Drosophila melanogaster: one gene and its partner. The protein of the gene in region 1 purifies or fractionates together with the protein of each later gene. This does not show direct contact. Each region holds a gene or a part of one and is shown on either strand. Other genes may lie near its edges.

Evidence for each region.
Region 2: the proteins of Wdfy2 (region 1) and Lkb1 purify together in Drosophila melanogaster (affinity purification with western blotting, with the first as the bait; one study listed by BioGRID). This does not show direct contact.

The regions. Positions count from the first base shown.
Region 1 is NT_033779.5:10,419,338-10,428,081, forward strand, and holds Wdfy2 (WD repeat and FYVE domain containing 2), read left to right. Parts: upstream 1-3,953; 5' UTR 3,954-4,009; exon of another isoform or gene 4,010-4,091; 5' UTR 4,092-4,182; coding exon 4,183-4,343; intron 4,344-4,413; coding exon 4,414-4,761; intron 4,762-5,033; coding exon 5,034-5,146; intron 5,147-5,206; coding exon 5,207-5,333; intron 5,334-5,396; coding exon 5,397-5,593; intron 5,594-5,654; coding exon 5,655-5,935; 3' UTR 5,936-6,145; downstream 6,146-8,744. Other genes in the region: RfC3 (replication factor C subunit 3), read left to right, coding at 22-86, 143-593, 654-868, 931-1,008, 1,064-1,215; pie (pineapple eye), read right to left, coding at 1,491-3,125, 3,193-3,306; small ribonucleoprotein particle protein SmB, read right to left, coding at 6,191-6,787, 7,157-7,159; KdelR (KDEL receptor), read left to right, coding at 7,834-8,472.
Region 2 is NT_033777.3:13,672,918-13,680,900, forward strand, and holds Lkb1 (Lkb1 kinase), read left to right. Parts: upstream 1-3,631; 5' UTR 3,632-4,027; intron 4,028-4,098; 5' UTR 4,099-4,192; coding exon 4,193-5,295; intron 5,296-5,361; coding exon 5,362-5,556; intron 5,557-5,617; coding exon 5,618-5,775; intron 5,776-5,832; coding exon 5,833-6,080; 3' UTR 6,081-6,149; exon of another isoform or gene 6,150-6,223; 3' UTR 6,224-6,513; downstream 6,514-7,983. Other genes in the region: CG9588 (uncharacterized protein), read right to left, coding at 2,586-2,819, 2,884-3,210, 3,511-3,612; omd (oocyte maintenance defects), read right to left, coding at 6,814-7,095, 7,155-7,297, 7,362-7,983.

The sequences.
Region 1 (8,744 bases):
ATACTATTTTCATTTCTTCAGGGTGGAAAAGTACAGACCAAGCGGTCTCGATGATTTGATATCTCACGAGGAAATAATATCAACAAGTGAGCATTCTGAGCGTTTAGCCATACAAAGCCACCACATTTAAGTGTACTTCTAGTAACCCGCTTTATAAGCCGCAAGCAGCTGCCCCATTTGCTGTTCTACGGACCACCTGGCACGGGAAAAACGAGTACAATCCTGGCCTGCGCTCGCCAATTGTATTCCCCTCAGCAGTTTAAGTCCATGGTCCTGGAGCTGAATGCCTCGGATGACCGAGGCATTGGGATTGTGCGCGGTCAAATCCTTAACTTCGCGTCCACACGCACCATTTTCTGCGACACCTTTAAGCTGATCATTTTGGACGAGGCCGATGCCATGACCAACGATGCCCAGAATGCCCTGCGCCGCATAATTGAGAAATATACGGACAACGTGCGCTTCTGTGTGATTTGCAATTATTTGAGCAAAATCATTCCGGCGCTGCAGTCGCGTTGCACCCGTTTTCGGTTCGCTCCATTATCCCAGGATCAGATGATGCCGCGACTGGAAAAAATCATCGAAGCCGAAGCGTAAGGTCTTTCAACTGCATAAAATAGCTTATTACTAACCTAAAATCTATCAACTATCAGCGTTCAGATAACTGAGGACGGCAAGCGGGCACTGCTGACCCTGGCCAAAGGTGATATGAGAAAGGTCTTGAACGTCCTGCAGAGTACCGTGATGGCATTTGATACGGTAAACGAGGATAACGTCTACATGTGCGTGGGCTATCCGTTGAGGCAGGATATTGAACAGATATTGAAGGCCTTGCTATCCGGCAGTAGCTTGGAGGACTCCTTCAAAAGTATGATGCGATTTGAAATGGCGAAAGATCAAAACTAATGATTCTTTCTTCTCTTTGCATAGCTGTCGAAAGTGCCAAGTACGCAAGAGGTCTCGCTTTGGAAGACATCATTACAGAATTGCATTTGTTTGTTATGAGACGTAAGTTTTTATCAAGTTATCATCAAGTCAAGTTATTGATATGTATTCCAAACAGTTGAGCTGCCTATGTCGGTCATGAACAAGCTTATTGTAAAGCTAGCTCAGATCGAGGAGAGATTGGCCAAAGGATGTACAGAAGTGGCTCAAACTGCAGCTCTGGTAGCCGCCTTCTTTATTTGCCGAGATATGGTTTCAATGGAGAAGTGAAACAATGTGTACTCCAATAATAGGTTAGAATTAAATTATAAATACAAAAACATAAAACACAATTTATTTACTGCATGCTTCTCTAGTTTAACAATCATTAAACCTTTTTAAAGTGGTTTCAGAGGTAGGAAATTTTTTTTTGTTTTTTTTTTTTTTTTGGATGATCATGCGAAACAATATATGCATAAAGAGACTAGAATTCTATGACGAATTAATTCCCACACAAGAGAATTGTTTAAAACATTAAGAACATTAAGAATTGTTTTAAACAATATTTAAGAGAACCCCTCTGATCTGTACCATTCGTGGAACTTCTCGATATGCTCAAAGATGCCGCGGTCCTCGCTGCGGCACCATACATCGTCTGGTGTTATGTTGACGCGTTCCAAAGCTGCCTGCGAGGTGTCCTGAATGCGCGGGTCATCCTCTTTAAATCGCAGCACACACGTACCAATGCACTCACCCATGCATGTGCCGTGCTCAAATTCGTAGATAACCAAGTAGAAAAATGGTTCGCCAGGGCATTGAAAGCCCGATTTTAGCACAAGTAAAGTATTTGGATCCTCTTTCGGCAGTGACGGTGAGTTGGGAGCTTTCGCCACAGCTTGTTCCTGCGGCTGTGGACAATCGAAAGTTTGTGATACTAGCTGCGTTGAGAAGCTGGCTTCTGGCTGCGGTGAGTGTGGAATCGTGTTTAATGCTGTTTGCTGCGTTAATTCAGGGTTTACGTTTATTGCTGTTGTCTGCGGTAAGTCGGGGATCTCACTTGCTGCTGTTGGCTGCGGTGAGTCGGGGATCTCACTTGCTGCTATTGGCTGTGGTGAGTCGGATGTGTCCCTTCTTGCTATTGGCTGCGGCGAGTGGTTCTCATCGATGGACGTCTTTGGCGACGCCTCTGGCGAATCAGGAATTTCCACTATCATCTCCTCCTGTGGCGGCGATAAGGATAACCTCTCGCTTGTTGCGTTAGATTTCGGTTGGCTGAATATAACCGTGATATTACTACTTCGTTCGCTTTCGTCTTCTTCGGAGAAAACAGGAGTCTGGGTTAAGGATCGAGTTGCAGCATCGGGTCCCAATTTTTGCACATAAAAAGAGCCATCCACCTGGTTGTCGCCGTCAGCATTGGTTTCTTCTGTTGTGCGAGCCGGTCCTTCAGCAATCCTCCTCTCCACGTCCAGGCACATAGAGCACTTGAAATCTGTACGCTCGCGCTTCTTCGGCAGTCGCAGGGCGCCCACCAAGCATTTAAGATGAGCCGAAGTGGCGGCACAAGAACTGCAGCATAGTATCACCCACGATAATCTATTATAAGTTCTACCACTGGGGCACAGGCAGTTGGGCTGGTCGCATTTCAGATTGCGCTCGTGGAGCTCCCTATAGGCGTTCCGTTGCTTCTCCCACGTGGCATCGCGATCGGGCACGAATACCGACTGCAGGCGTATGGAATCCCTGAAACGTTCCGAACGACACCAAATGCAACGCAAGTAATATCCGGAGGTCAGAGCGTACTGACGCATGCATTTCTTATGGGCGAATCCGAGGCGGCAGCAGTCACCGTACACAACGCAATGCAGCTCTACCTTATAGATGGAACTGAAGCAGATGGGGCAAGTGGCGTTCCTCGGCGGATTCGACTGCAGCTGTCGCTTGTAGTCATCCATCGGCCTGCATTTGTAGCAGTAGCTTTTGTATTGGCCGCAGAACTCGAAAACGGCGCGATTCTCCAGGCCGCACTTCAGGTGAAACAATGACCGGCAACGATCGCATTGCAAACTGGCCCCAATCTTATTGCAGTACCAACATTTCCTCTTCTCCGCGGCGGCTGCCTCCTCGCGGATATCGCGAAGCAGAAATCCCAGGATTCCACTGCTATCTCCGCCGCGCTGCGGCAAATGCGTTGAGAGTAGCTGGTGGATTGGATCAGGAAGTTTACATTAGCGGGAGTTCTCTTCATTTCACAACAATCGCACTTACCAGGCAAAAATAGTGCACCTGCAAATTGCGTACAATCATCCATTCGCCAAAGACCAGGTCGTCAGTGTCCGAATATTTGCATATTAAGCATTGCAGCTCCTTGTTATCTTCCATTTGTAAGCTGGCCGCTCAGACTAGTTTTGCTGGACAGATCAACTCGTTTGAGTGCTATTATGAATAATTTTTAAAACTATCAACATGTTTTGCATTCCTTTTTTACTCTATTGGCGGGCAAGGATTTTGAAAAACAATAAATACAACAGCGCCTTATTATACTTCAATTCCACCAAGCACATTTTTGGAAAAGCTCTGTTTCCACTGAGCAACACTCACAATGATCTAATCTGCTTAACTAGCTATATTTTGCGTTAACCCTACTTATAATAAAATTATTTATTTATGTGTAATAATAAATTTTAACGTATTAAAAACTTAACACAATATAAACAAATATTTTGTGATTAATAATTAAATAGCATGATAACCGGAAACATAACTGTGCGTGGTCCGTAGGTTTTATTAGATATGATATGCCATTATGAAAATCATAAGACTATACATTTATAAAGCGATTTCTGAGATTCAAGATTCAAATGCTCGTTTGTATGTTTATAAAATGTGGTGCGTGCATATGCATACATAATGCTGCGACACATCACACGAAATACCTTCAGTATTTTTAATAGCAAAATAATATACAATAATACGCAAAAACTATATCTAACAATTAAGATTCTATTTTCATTTCATCGATTCCACTATTCCGCAGCATTCCTAAACTTGGCGTCGCTATCTAGACGAGCTTTCCAACAACAAAGTTCAGTATATTTAATGTTAAACAAAATAACACAGTTTTGTTAATTGATTGTGAATCACGTATCTCCATTCACCTTCCCCAGTCCGAGAATCGGATTGTTTATAACCGCATTATCATCGAGTGCGTTAAATAGGGCGTAGGCGTACCATCGGACTGGATCCACCTTAAATAATATGGCTGCCGAGATAAAACCAGCTCAGCGGACCAACAATGATCGCTTTAACACCTCCAAAAAGCCGGAATTGCTGAGTAAGCTGGAGGGCAGCAGCGACGATGTGAACGCAGCGATCCTAATTCCGGGCGAAAACGGCGTAATTAGCGTTTCCGATGACAAGTGCGTAGCTGTAGCCCATTAAAAATATACACAAATGGTATGCCTGACATTTTCATGTTTTCCCCAATAGAACCGTTCGCGTTTGGCTAAAACGCGATTCTGGTCAATATTGGCCTAGCATTTGCCAGTATATGCCTTCCGGCTGCACGGCCATCGAGTACGTTTCGGAATCCCGGCACCTGTACGTCGGCCAGGAAAACGGAACGGTCACCCAGTACGCGCTATCCGAAGACTGCAATCGCCTGTCCTTCCTGCGGGATTACTTGTCCCATCAAGCGCGGGTCATGGCCGTGGTCTTCTCGAAAACCCACAAGTGGATACTCTCCGCCGGCAAAGATAAGCAGTTCGCCTATCATTGCACGGAGAGCGGCAAACGGGTGGGCGGATACAACTTTGAGACACCATGCACGGCTCTCCAGTAAGTATGATAAATGGATGGTGAAAGGGGGAAGGGGGTGCGACAGTGGATATGGGATAAGCGGGTCATTTAATTGGATTAAACTGCTTTCTTTGACACGGCAATAAACTGCAATTCTTCACGGCTATGGAATTCATTTAGAATTTGAGAACCTTCTATTGTTAATGACGTGTCAACTGAGTCATTTTATCTACACAAAATTTTGGCATAAATGTGTGCACTGTGCGAAATATTCTATAAGCAACATATAATTAATTATAATCTGCGTTTAGGTTCGACGCTTTGGCCAAGTATGCCTTTGTGGGCGATCATGCTGGACAGATAACAATGCTAAGGTGCGATGTTCAGGGAGTGCAACTAATTACCACTTTCAATGGACATTCGGGTAAACAAGTTACAAATGATATTTAGTAAGCTAATTATATACGAATTGGTTAATTTTTAGCGGAAATCCGGTGCCTCAAATGGGTGGAAGGCCCTCAGCTCTTGTTTAGCGGAGCTTGCGATCAGTCCGTGCTAGTTTGGGATGTTGGTGGCAAACGTGGCACCATTTACGAGCTGCAGGGACATAGGTATCTCCAATCTTAAATAATATTCATAAAATAAGATAGTAATCGGCACTTCTGATTATGTAGCAACAAAGTTTCCGCCCTGTCGTACGCGAATCACACGCAACAACTGATAAGCTGTGGCGAAGATTCAGTAGTGGTTTTTTGGGAAATGAATGCAATGCGGAAAGAGGTTCCTGGCTGGGTGGATACCAACAACTGTCAGCTTTGCTCCAGGCCCTTCTTCTGGAACTTCCGCTCAATGATGGATCAAAAGCAGCTGGGTGAGATAAATAGCTTACACTTGAGTTACTCTTTGTTTTACAAGTAATTTCTGACTGTCAGGAATACGACAGCATCATTGTCGCCACTGCGGCAAAGCCGTGTGCGACAACTGTTCCACCAATCGCATTAACATACCCATAATGGGCTTCGAGTTTGATGTGCGTACCTGTGATCCGTGCTACAAACAACTTCAGACAGTCGAGCGCCCCTCGCTGGCTTCATTCAATGACGCCAAGCATTCGATCGTCTACATGGACCTGGACGAGGACAGAAAGCGCCTGTTGACAGTGGGCCAGGACAGGCTCATCAAGATCTGGGATCTCTCCAACATCTGGGCATAAAACATCCTGTACGCACACGCACGTACCAAAGGTATAATCATTCACGAGGCGTTTCGGTCTTAACTGGAACACCCAATTAACGAACGATGTGGCTGGCAACGACCAAATCCAGTCCCTGCTGCTTAGGTTCTCATATAATTGATGTAAAGCAATAATCATTGTATGTACGTATGCTTACATTCAACACATAAATACACGAATCCATCGATTAAGTGGTGTTTTCTAAATGAGTTTTTATTAGATTGTACTTTATACTTAATAGCCACCCCTGCCCGGTGGTGGTGCTCCACGGATCATGCTGGGCGGCGGTCCGCGCATCGGTGGCGGAGCACCGCGTCCCATGTTTCCTGGCATCGAGGGCATGCCGCCGGGAATCATGCCCGGTGGCGGTGCACCCATCATCGGTGCTCGTGGCACTCCTCGTCCCATCGGAGCCATGTGCTGTTGGGCGGGTCCGCCCACACCTCTCACGGGACCCTGGAGACCCGCTGGCACGGCGGACAAGTTGATAGGCATTCCGCGTCCGGCCACGCGACCGATTCCCGGACCAGGAGCTGCTCCCGGAATGGGAACTCGGGGCAGGCCCTCCTCTGGCGGCGGTGGTCCCTCCACCGTCAGTGAAACTATGTTCTCGCCGCGCAGCAATACAAAGCCCAGCACGCGCTTCTCCTCGCGCTCGGGCACCTTGGAATTCTTCGAGCGAATCTTCCGGAACTCCTCGCAGTCGCCGAGGATCAAGTTCATGTGTTTGTCGAAGGCTTTGAAGGTACCGATGAAGGTACGCGAGTCCTGCAGCACGATTCGCACCCGATAATTCAGGTGCTGAATCATTTTGTTGTTCTTGCCGATCGTCTGAAATAAAGGAATTCAAAGGATTTAATTGTGAAATACAATAGCATGCATAAAAGTCGCGCCATCTTTTGTAAACCATTTCGACCCTTTAAAAAAGCCGGTATTTATAAAAATTTTAATAAACCACAGAGTTTGAAATAGCAAATCTCAGCGTAATATCGAAGATCACTAAAAATCATAATTTTAAACAAATATAAAATAGTTAATTAGCCAAAACAAATTGTTTTATTTATTCGCATGCATGTTTGTATGTATGTATGCCTATGTAAATACGAAATCGCAACCGCGAAAGTAAGAATCTATGAATTAATACAACTAAACAAAACTTAACCATTGCAGTCAGATGCTTAAAACAGTGTTTTTACTTACCATTTTATTTGATTTCTATGTTAATTCTATCGCTTGTAAATAAAATACAGATGCCGGAACCTCACCACGGCTTTTTTCGATAGGCATGAAGAATAAATCGAGTGGCGTGTGCGGCGGTCAGCATTTTCTGGTGTCTTTCAATCGAGCCTATCGAATATAAATTTTTTATTGATAATCCACATGATTTTTTAAACAAACATTCGACTATCCCTAGCAAAAGAAGAGAAAAAAATTAAATTTTTTTTAAATCTTATGATAAAAAACGAAAAAAGAAAAAATTTGAATCAGTATGTTTTTTCTCAATTTTTTTCGTTAGAGATGGTCGAATTTTCATTAAAAAAATCATGTGGCGGCACTTATCGATATCGATAGGCAGTGGCCATGTTATCAAACTTATTCTTATTCATCAGCCACGTCATTGTTTATGCCGACATTCTGACAAGTTTTTTTCCGAAGCGGCAAAGCCCTCACATCTCTACTCGTTGGCAAATTAGGCGAAAAGTCATTTTGGTAACGTATGCAGCTGTTGAAACACTGAATGCCGCCATTATTGCTATAGTATACACTCCCATTTTCATATAGGCGTGCGTTCCGTGACGCAGCCGCAGCGAAAGGAAGTAGAACAATCAAACAGCCAACCGGGCAGCCAAGTAGCCAAGTCGGCGGATTAGATCACGATGAATATCTTTCGCTTTGCTGGGGATCTGTCGCATGTGTTTGCCATCATAATACTGCTGCTGAAGATATGGAAGACCCGCTCGTGCGCCGGAATATCGGGCAAGTCGCAGATCCTGTTCGCCGTGGTCTATCTGACGCGCTACCTGGATCTGTTCACCACCTACGTGAGCCTGTACAACTCGGTGATGAAGGTGTTGTTCCTGGCCACGTCCGGTGCCACCGTGTATTTGATGTACGTGAAGTTTAAGGCCACCTATGACCACAATCACGATTCGTTCCGCATCGAATTCCTGCTGGTGCCGTGCGCCCTGCTCTCGCTGGTGATCAATCATGAGTTTACCGTGATGGAAGTGCTGTGGACATTCTCGATCTATTTGGAATCGGTGGCCATTCTGCCGCAGCTGTTCCTAGTGAGCAGAACCGGCGAGGCCGAGTCCATCACCAGCCACTACCTCTTCGCCCTGGGATCGTACCGTGCACTCTACTTGCTCAACTGGGTCTACCGGTACATGGTCGAGTCGCACTACGACCTTATCGCGATCTTCGCCGGAGTTGTCCAGACCGTCTTGTACTGCGACTTCTTCTACTTATACATTACCAAAGTTCTTAAGGGCAAGAAGCTCCAGCTGCCGGCATAAGCGGATGATGGATAAGTGCATAGATGTGGGACATTTGTGTTTTGTCGGCACACATCATCAATCGACGTCAGAGTAAACAAGCGAGCGATCCACGGCCCGTTTGACAACGCGTATTTCGTTCATATTATACAAAAGATACATAATCGAGGGGAGCGCCTAAGTTGTAATTATTTAATGAGAAATAAACCGAAAATCGAAAGTACACTATAAACTATGCAATACCGACATCGTACATTGAAAATGTAACAAATGTATTAATCTCCGTTTTCCGA
Region 2 (7,983 bases), on another chromosome or scaffold:
TGGGTTGCTCCTATGGAGCTTCGCCTATCATCCCAGTGTTGTCTATAAAAGGTAGTGATTTTGCAATATGAGGGATCAATAATGTTATATCTAAGGATTTTCAATGAAACTCCCACAAAAAGATGTGGTATTAATATCTTTTTCTTGCTTTCTCATATGTCATAGCATACTTTTAAGCACCTTTTCAAAGAAACTTCGAAACTAAATGTTTTCTGTGGAAAATAGCATACTTTAAGGCACATATTTCAAGGATATGATGTTCTGCAGCATTGAAACTCCACAAATGGCTCTTCAATGTGTACATTTAACTGCCGAAGGACTTCTGATCCTTTTCGACGCGTAAAGGATCAACTTGAACTTCATTGTTGTGCCACCATGATGACCGGCGCTGTGTGTACTTTTCATCTCAGCTAACACACACACATACGCACACACACACACACACTGGCCCACCACACAAACATGCAAATGAATTTTTCATTTGCATGTGTCCTTCGCCCAATGAGCGTAAGGACTTGTGGACACACTGGCACAACTGGCACTTTTTGGCAACGTGTGAGGCTGCGAAATCTCAGCTGTAATTGTTGAATAATTCAGTTAGCACGCGGGATAATGAGACGCCGAAAACTGAAAATGAAAGCTCCTCCTTGAAGTTCTCTTCGAGTGTAAGTGTGTGTGGCCATCTAACGCCAATTTATTGATGAACAATGAGGCAGCATTGCAGTGTCTCTGAATTATTCAAGTGTGTGTGTGTGTGAATGTGTCCCTGTGTTTGTGTGTGTGTGTGTGTGTGTGTGTGGGGCTCGAAGCGCGTTGAAGTGTACGCACGCACACAAGCGCAGCGCAGACACAGGCTTTTTTTAATTCATCGAGAGTAGCAGCCGAAATGTTTGGTCCTTCGGTGCGGATTGTGGGGGTTGGTTTTCCTTTGCCCCACAGCGACGCACAGACACACACACCACACACACACACACACACAGGAAAAGGATGCCCGCCCTTAGTTAACTTTTTTGTTAGTTTCCCCGCTGCTGCCTGTTTGTTGTGCTATTTCGCGCAGCTTTCGTAGCCCCAACCACCAAGCAGATTCCCTCACAATTCCCATGCACTGGCAATGACAGTGACACTATCCTGCCACTCCAGTTCGCGAAAAAAAAGATGAAAAGAAGGACGAGAGCTGGCTGGGTCCACGCATTGGAAGTGTTTCATTATATAAAGCCCGCACACATACACATCCTTTCCGCCGCACAGGACGAACGCGAACGGCTCGCAATTTTCATCGGTCGCGTTGTTGGCAGCAGGCAGATCCTTTCAATCGCTCACGTTAATTGCACAGAAATTCAGCGGCGCCCCACGATTTTTTCACTAGCGTAATTTGACGGCGATTGGGCCGCACTTTCGTCCTGTCGCCACTCGGATTCGGATTCGAAATCGCATCCGTAATGCTCTCGATTCGGATTCGACGGCTGCGGCAGCTTTGCTCCGGCGCACAAAACAAGCAAACTGGTGCGGGGATAATTTTTGTATATTTTGGCAAGCAATTGGAATTGTTATTCGCCAGTCGCTTTGCTTCAACAATTTCACTGCATTTGTAATTATCCTTTTTTTTATCGTGGCAATCGGATGCTGCGGCGCGGGTGAAAAAAGTTTTAAACTTTTACGCTGCGTGTTGCTTAAATAGATTTTCGGGCGAAAGCTCGTCCTGCCAAATTCGCTCTCTTCGCGGAAAATCTCTCTCACTGTTAAGCTAACATGTGTCCTAACCGGTTAAGCGAATTCTGTTACGGAATTTGGTTCGAGTCTGGGCTGCAGACTGTTGCATTTAATTTAAAAAAAACCTGATATAAAAAACGAAACAAATAAAATGACTTTGCCATCTCATAAAAACTATTATTCCAATTGATTAACAATACACTCTTTCAATTAAATTGCTCACGTCAGATATATAAATAATTTTATCTTAAGAAGGAGTACAGTTTTAAAGCCATTGTGCCCTGACTAAGCGCTTGAGCATTGGTTGAAAACTTGGCTAGTACCTGGATGTTCAAAAACAGAACTTTTAAAATCGAACATTTCTTTAGAATTTGTTTCTCTGTTAAATTGAAATGTTCATAAGAAGAATAAACCATAGTCTTCTGCAAAAACGTTTATGCTTTTAGATAATAATTTCCAAATTTGTTTTTTATATTTTTAATTATATATCCTTCTTTATTTACCAGTAAAAGCGCTATAAAAACTTATTTGTTAGTAAAACCGCCTCATCATTTTGTTACGCATCATTTCATATTGAATGAAAATTAAATGCAAAAAAAATCGGTCATGTCGACAGAATCCACCGAATCACAATATCATCCTTTTGCCTGTCACCTGTGCACCTTGGGTCACTCCACTGCTGCTCCTTGGCCCACTGACCCGGCTGTCAGTCAGCGAGATGACTCCAGCTGAAATTGCCCTGAAATCGCGTCCAAAAATCAATTTTCACAATTTGGAGCAACCATGTTCGTCGGCCTGGCAGAGATGGGCTGATAACTAAAGTGCAGGGCAGGAGTGCACAGGCAACTCGAAAAAAGCTTAAACACAAAGCTACATCAGTGATCCATCGCCTCGGGCGGCAGGACGATGTTGCAGCCCAGGAGACCGCGTCCACTCCACGTTTTCGGCACCAGGATGAGGTCCAACTGCTGCTCGCCGCGCTTCACTTTCAGCTGGACATTCTGGCTCTGCATGTTGCGCACCAGCTCGCCAATCTGGGCGAGATCTCCCTTGAAGTTGCCGCTATTGATGGAGCCAAAGCGGAGGATGGCATCGCCGGCACAGAGACCCTTAAATGGTAAAGATGGCCCATCTCAATGCTGTGATCTTCGCTTGTTTACTACATTCACTCACAGCTCTTTCGGCGGGCGAATCGGGACTGACCAGATTGACCACCACGATGGCGCGTGCAGGAGCAAGATCCGTGATATTAGCGCCACCGGGTGAACGGTCGCTGTCCAGGTCCAAAGCGGAGGCGCGGTTCACCAGCTCCGGATCTGTGGTGGCAATCTCGCTGTGATATTGGTTGAGCAGCGTCTGGATCTGGTTCATCAGCTCCTTGTGGTCGTTCTGCAGGCAGATGATCGTCTGTCGCGCCAGGCGCACCTGGTAAACGTCGATGTCGTTGCGCGGAAAACCCTCGGCGTCCACCAGTGGTCCACTCATGCCCACATTGTCGTTCTGGAAGGAAGATATCATTATCAATGCTATACAGCATAAACAAAAGAATGTACTCAAAATACAATTGTGTATATACCCTACACCAAAGCATAGGATAATGCTGTAATGCTTGCCCAAGTGGACATACCCTAACCAACAGTAGGGTATTGAATATATCAACATTTGGCTTGGCGGTCCGTCCAAGTTGAAGAACCTGCGATCATGAATATCCACGGTGGTGCGTCACCAACAGCTTGCCACAGTGTGCATACCCTATCCCGGATGCAGGGTATCCCCGGATGAGCAAGCGAATTTACTTACGGCGGCCAGGATCTGTCCGTTTCTGTTGATCTGCGCCTCCAGCTGCTTTTTAGCGTTAATCAGACGCTCCAGGCGCTCCTTGGTCGTCGTCCCAGCGGCCATGACTTCCACTTCGATTCGAGTTATTCCAGCGTTCGTCCCGAAAAATACAAATTTATTATTTTTCGTTAATGTTTTTTTTTTTCAGCAGCGACAGTAGCAACAACAACCAGTGCTCGTGCAGCCCTGGTTGCCCGCGACCAGTGTGACCGTATTGCGGCGAACTTACTTTGGCCAAAAACTAATTGTTAAACAATTTTTCGGAAGGGGAAAAGAACAAATTGAACGGCGAGAGTAAACACAGGAATTCACAAATTTCTATGAGAAACAGATCGCACGACGGTGAAACGAAAGGGGGGAACGCCTTTCCAGCGGACATCGCAGAATAGACGACGGGCGACGAGGGACCTCGAAAAATCGCACGGCAATCAATTCGAGTGTGTGCGAATTGATTACAAAAATAAAGGTATTTCGAGAGGTGAGCGATAAAAGCGCGTGTGTGCCTGGTGAGGATTAGGTGTAGCCATGAACTAACCAAACGTTTTGCAGCCACAGGCAACACAGGGACCACACCGTCCACTCCCATCCGCCGGAGTGGGGCTGCCACCTGCGATATGTGATCATTGGGGCTCCGCGGAGGTTTATGCAATGTTCTAGCTCTCGGCCAGTCGGAGGTAAAGCAGCCGGTGGAGCAGAAGCAGGAGGGGCAGGAGCAACAGGCCAGATGACTGTGACCACCATGGAGGCACAGGTCAAGGCAGCACACCATCATCATCTACATCATCCCACGGGCGGAGGGGCCCAGCACAAGGTGGAGGAGGAGGAGCCGGATCCTGTTGAGGACGAGATGACCGTACTGCTGGCCAATAAGAACTTTCACTATGACGTCGCCTCCGATCTGGACGACGACGCTTTTGTGGAGCTCAAAGAAGACACCGCCCAAGCGGATGATGCGGGCGCGGGCGTTGGCTTCTACAATCCGGATGAACTGCTGCTCGATGACCAGCCACATCCGCAAGTCACGTGGCTGGACGACGACGAGATCGAGACGCTCGATCGCGTGACGCTGGACATGGGTAATATGTTCTTCAATCGCGTCGACAGCCAGGACATCATCTATCAGCAGAAAAAGAAGAGCATTAAGATGGTGGGCAAGTACATAATGGGCGATGTTCTCGGCGAGGGATCGTACGGCAAGGTGAAGGAGGCCATGAACTCGGAGAACCTGTGCCGCCTGGCCGTCAAGATCCTGACTAAGCGGAAGTTGCGCCGGATTCCCAACGGCGAACAGAACGTAACGCGCGAGATCGCCTTGCTGAAGCAGCTGAAGCATCGACATGTCGTGGAGCTGGTCGATGTTTTGTACAACGAGGAGAAGCAGAAAATGTACTTGGTCATGGAGTACTGTGTCGGCGGGCTGCAGGAGATGATTGACTATCAGCCAGACAAGCGGATGCCGCTGTTTCAGGCGCACGGTTACTTCAAACAGCTAGTCGACGGCCTGGAGTACTTGCACAGCTGCCGGGTCATCCACAAGGATATCAAGCCAGGCAACCTGCTGCTCTCCCTGGATCAAACGCTGAAGATATCCGACTTCGGTGTGGCGGAGCAACTGGATCTGTTCGCACCTGACGACACATGCACGACGGGCCAAGGTTCTCCGGCCTTCCAGCCACCGGAGATTGCCAACGGACACGAGACGTTCGCCGGCTTCAAGGTGGACATCTGGTCCAGCGGAGTGACTCTGTAAGCCTTCCTTGTATAATATCATGTATTAAATGTATATACTGTACTAATCTAACGGATTTGCAGCTACAATTTGGCCACTGGACAGTATCCCTTCGAGGGCGACAATATCTACCGACTGCTGGAGAACATCGGGCGAGGTCAGTGGGAGGCGCCCGCGTGGCTATACGAAATGGACGCGGACTTTGCCAACCTGATTCTCGGCATGCTTCAGGCTGATCCCAGTAAACGCCTCTCTCTGCAGGAAATACGCCACGACACGTAAGTAGGAATATTCCTTGATTGCACTTCATGATAACTGATTGTTATAATCTGCTTTTAGTTGGTTCCGATCCGCACCGGTTAAGACCGGCCCACCGATACCCATTCCCCCCCTGAAGGGTGACAAATACCGCAACTCCACGGTGATACCTTACTTGGAAGCTTACCACTACGGCACCCAGGAGGAGGATGTCTACTTTACAGAACACGACGTAAATCGTACGTACCAACATCAATCTAATGCCGAGTGAACTACTTTCATGGTTACCTTTACAGAGGAGCTCGCCCGCCAAGCGGCAGCTGCTGCCTCCGAAATTCGGGCCAAACAGTCGGCGGCAGCCCTAGCCGCCTGCCACACCTACGAACCGCCCTCCACAAGTGCCGCAGCCGCCAGCAATTCGCTGGGCAACGGTAGCAGAGAGGAGGCGCCCGTCAAGAAGAAGGGATCGGCACTGAAGAGGCGCGCCAAGAAGCTGACGTCCTGCATCTCCGTGCGCAAGCTGAGCCACTGCCGAACTTCGTAGGCGCCTTAGATGCCTCCACTAAACATAGATGCTAAGATTTATCGAAAGGAATAACTTTGTTAACAAATTGTGAGCAACTTTTTGGTTTTGTTTTCCCGTTTTTATTCTGTTGTCCTACATTCGCCAAGTATTTGTAACCATAGAATCATGTAGGAAATTCAGGCGCAACCTCGTACCGCCCGAGCAGCAGGAGCAGCAGCGGTCGCATCAACAGCAGCAACAGCCCGCATCAGCGGAGTTGGCTGTGGAATTGGGGAGCTATGGGAGCGACACGAAAGCTATATATCCATGTGACAATACTGTGTATTATATGAAACAAATGAATGCGTAAATTAGTCGTTAATATATTATGATGTACTGAAGGCAGCCGAGGATTGCCGGAGGAGACGGTGCCCATTGGTGCGTCGCACACATAAAGAAATATGTTCAAGTGAAATTGTTTGTTGGCTTCGTTATATTCTAAACTACACACGACGAATGATGCGATTTTCAGGCGCCGTCGGTACAATAACTGCTGGACAGTATTTGCAAGGCCTAGGTTGAGATTTTAATTTTTACAAACCAATGAAACGAAAATAAAAGAACCCATTGAATATCAAAATACAAACACTGCATTTAGTTCGCACATTTCGCACATTCCAAATTCCACACTCAACACTCGCAGACGCTCCATTATTCCATGCACACACGCTCATGCTCACACTACAACATTAGGCTAGCTAACTACGTTTGCTTAATCTATTTCAACGATCTGCAGCCGGGCCGTCGGATCTGGCTCTGAGTCGCCCTCCATCAGCTCGCCCATGATGAACATCTGATGGTAGTGGGGGCCCAGGGTGGACAGCTTACGCTGCATTAGGTGGCGCAACGGGTCCACATATTGCGGCGGCACCTTGGCCAGCTGTGTATTCGTGTTGCGCCAGTGCAGCCCGTTGTTGTCCACGTGAAACAGCGCCGGCGAGGGCACGTGATCTTTAAGATAGTTCCAGATGCACTCGCGCAGCAGCAGGGCAATCTGGAAATGTCATACATTAGTTGGTGCTACTACACAGTTTGGGCAAATAATGGATCTACCTCTGCCGATTCAAAGTGCTCGATGATGAGATGCAGATTGGTGAGTGGAGGTGGAATTAGTTGGCTCATAGCCAGCAGTTGCAGCATCTTCTTGGTGCACAGCATCAGCTCATCGTTCGCAGCAGTGGGCTGGAATCGATTGACTGCAAACGTATAATATGATTAGGCACCTTTATAGAAAATAAGCAAGTAAAGTGACAAGCTCACCATTCTTGCCCCGCCAGTGATGCAAGCAGGTGGCGCACAGTGCGCGCAGTAGCACGGAGGAATAGCAAAGCGCCGGCCTATGACCGGCGATCAGTCCCAAAACAGCCCACAGCACTGGGGAGTTGATGAACGCTCTCCTGATTAGCATGTCCCGCTCCATTGTGACCCTGGTGAACTCCTCATCCGGAAAGGGCAGGCCGTTGTACATGACATCCGTGGAGACCAGCTCGACCAGCAGCAGCGAGACCAGCGAGTAGCCCTCCACGTTGTTGGGCTTCTCCAGATCGGCGCAGCATGCATTCAATGCCTTAAGATACAGCGCCTGCTTCTCCGCATCGCAGTTCCGCTCGCTGGGGGGCAGCACTGGTCGCAGACCTCTGCCTATAATACCGGAATGCAGCACGGAGCGATTCGAGTTGGCGCCAGAGCTGGTGTGCAGATTCTGCAGGATGAGGTGTTCGTGCTCGGGTATCTCAAGCTCATCGAGCTGATACACCTCCAGCTGACCAAGCAAGTGACCGTGATAAAAGAGCGCGCGCTCCACCAGCTCGCGCAGGCAGACGGTTCTCGCGATTTTCCGGGCGGAACACTGCCTCTGCAACAGCGTGTAGGAGCGATGCGA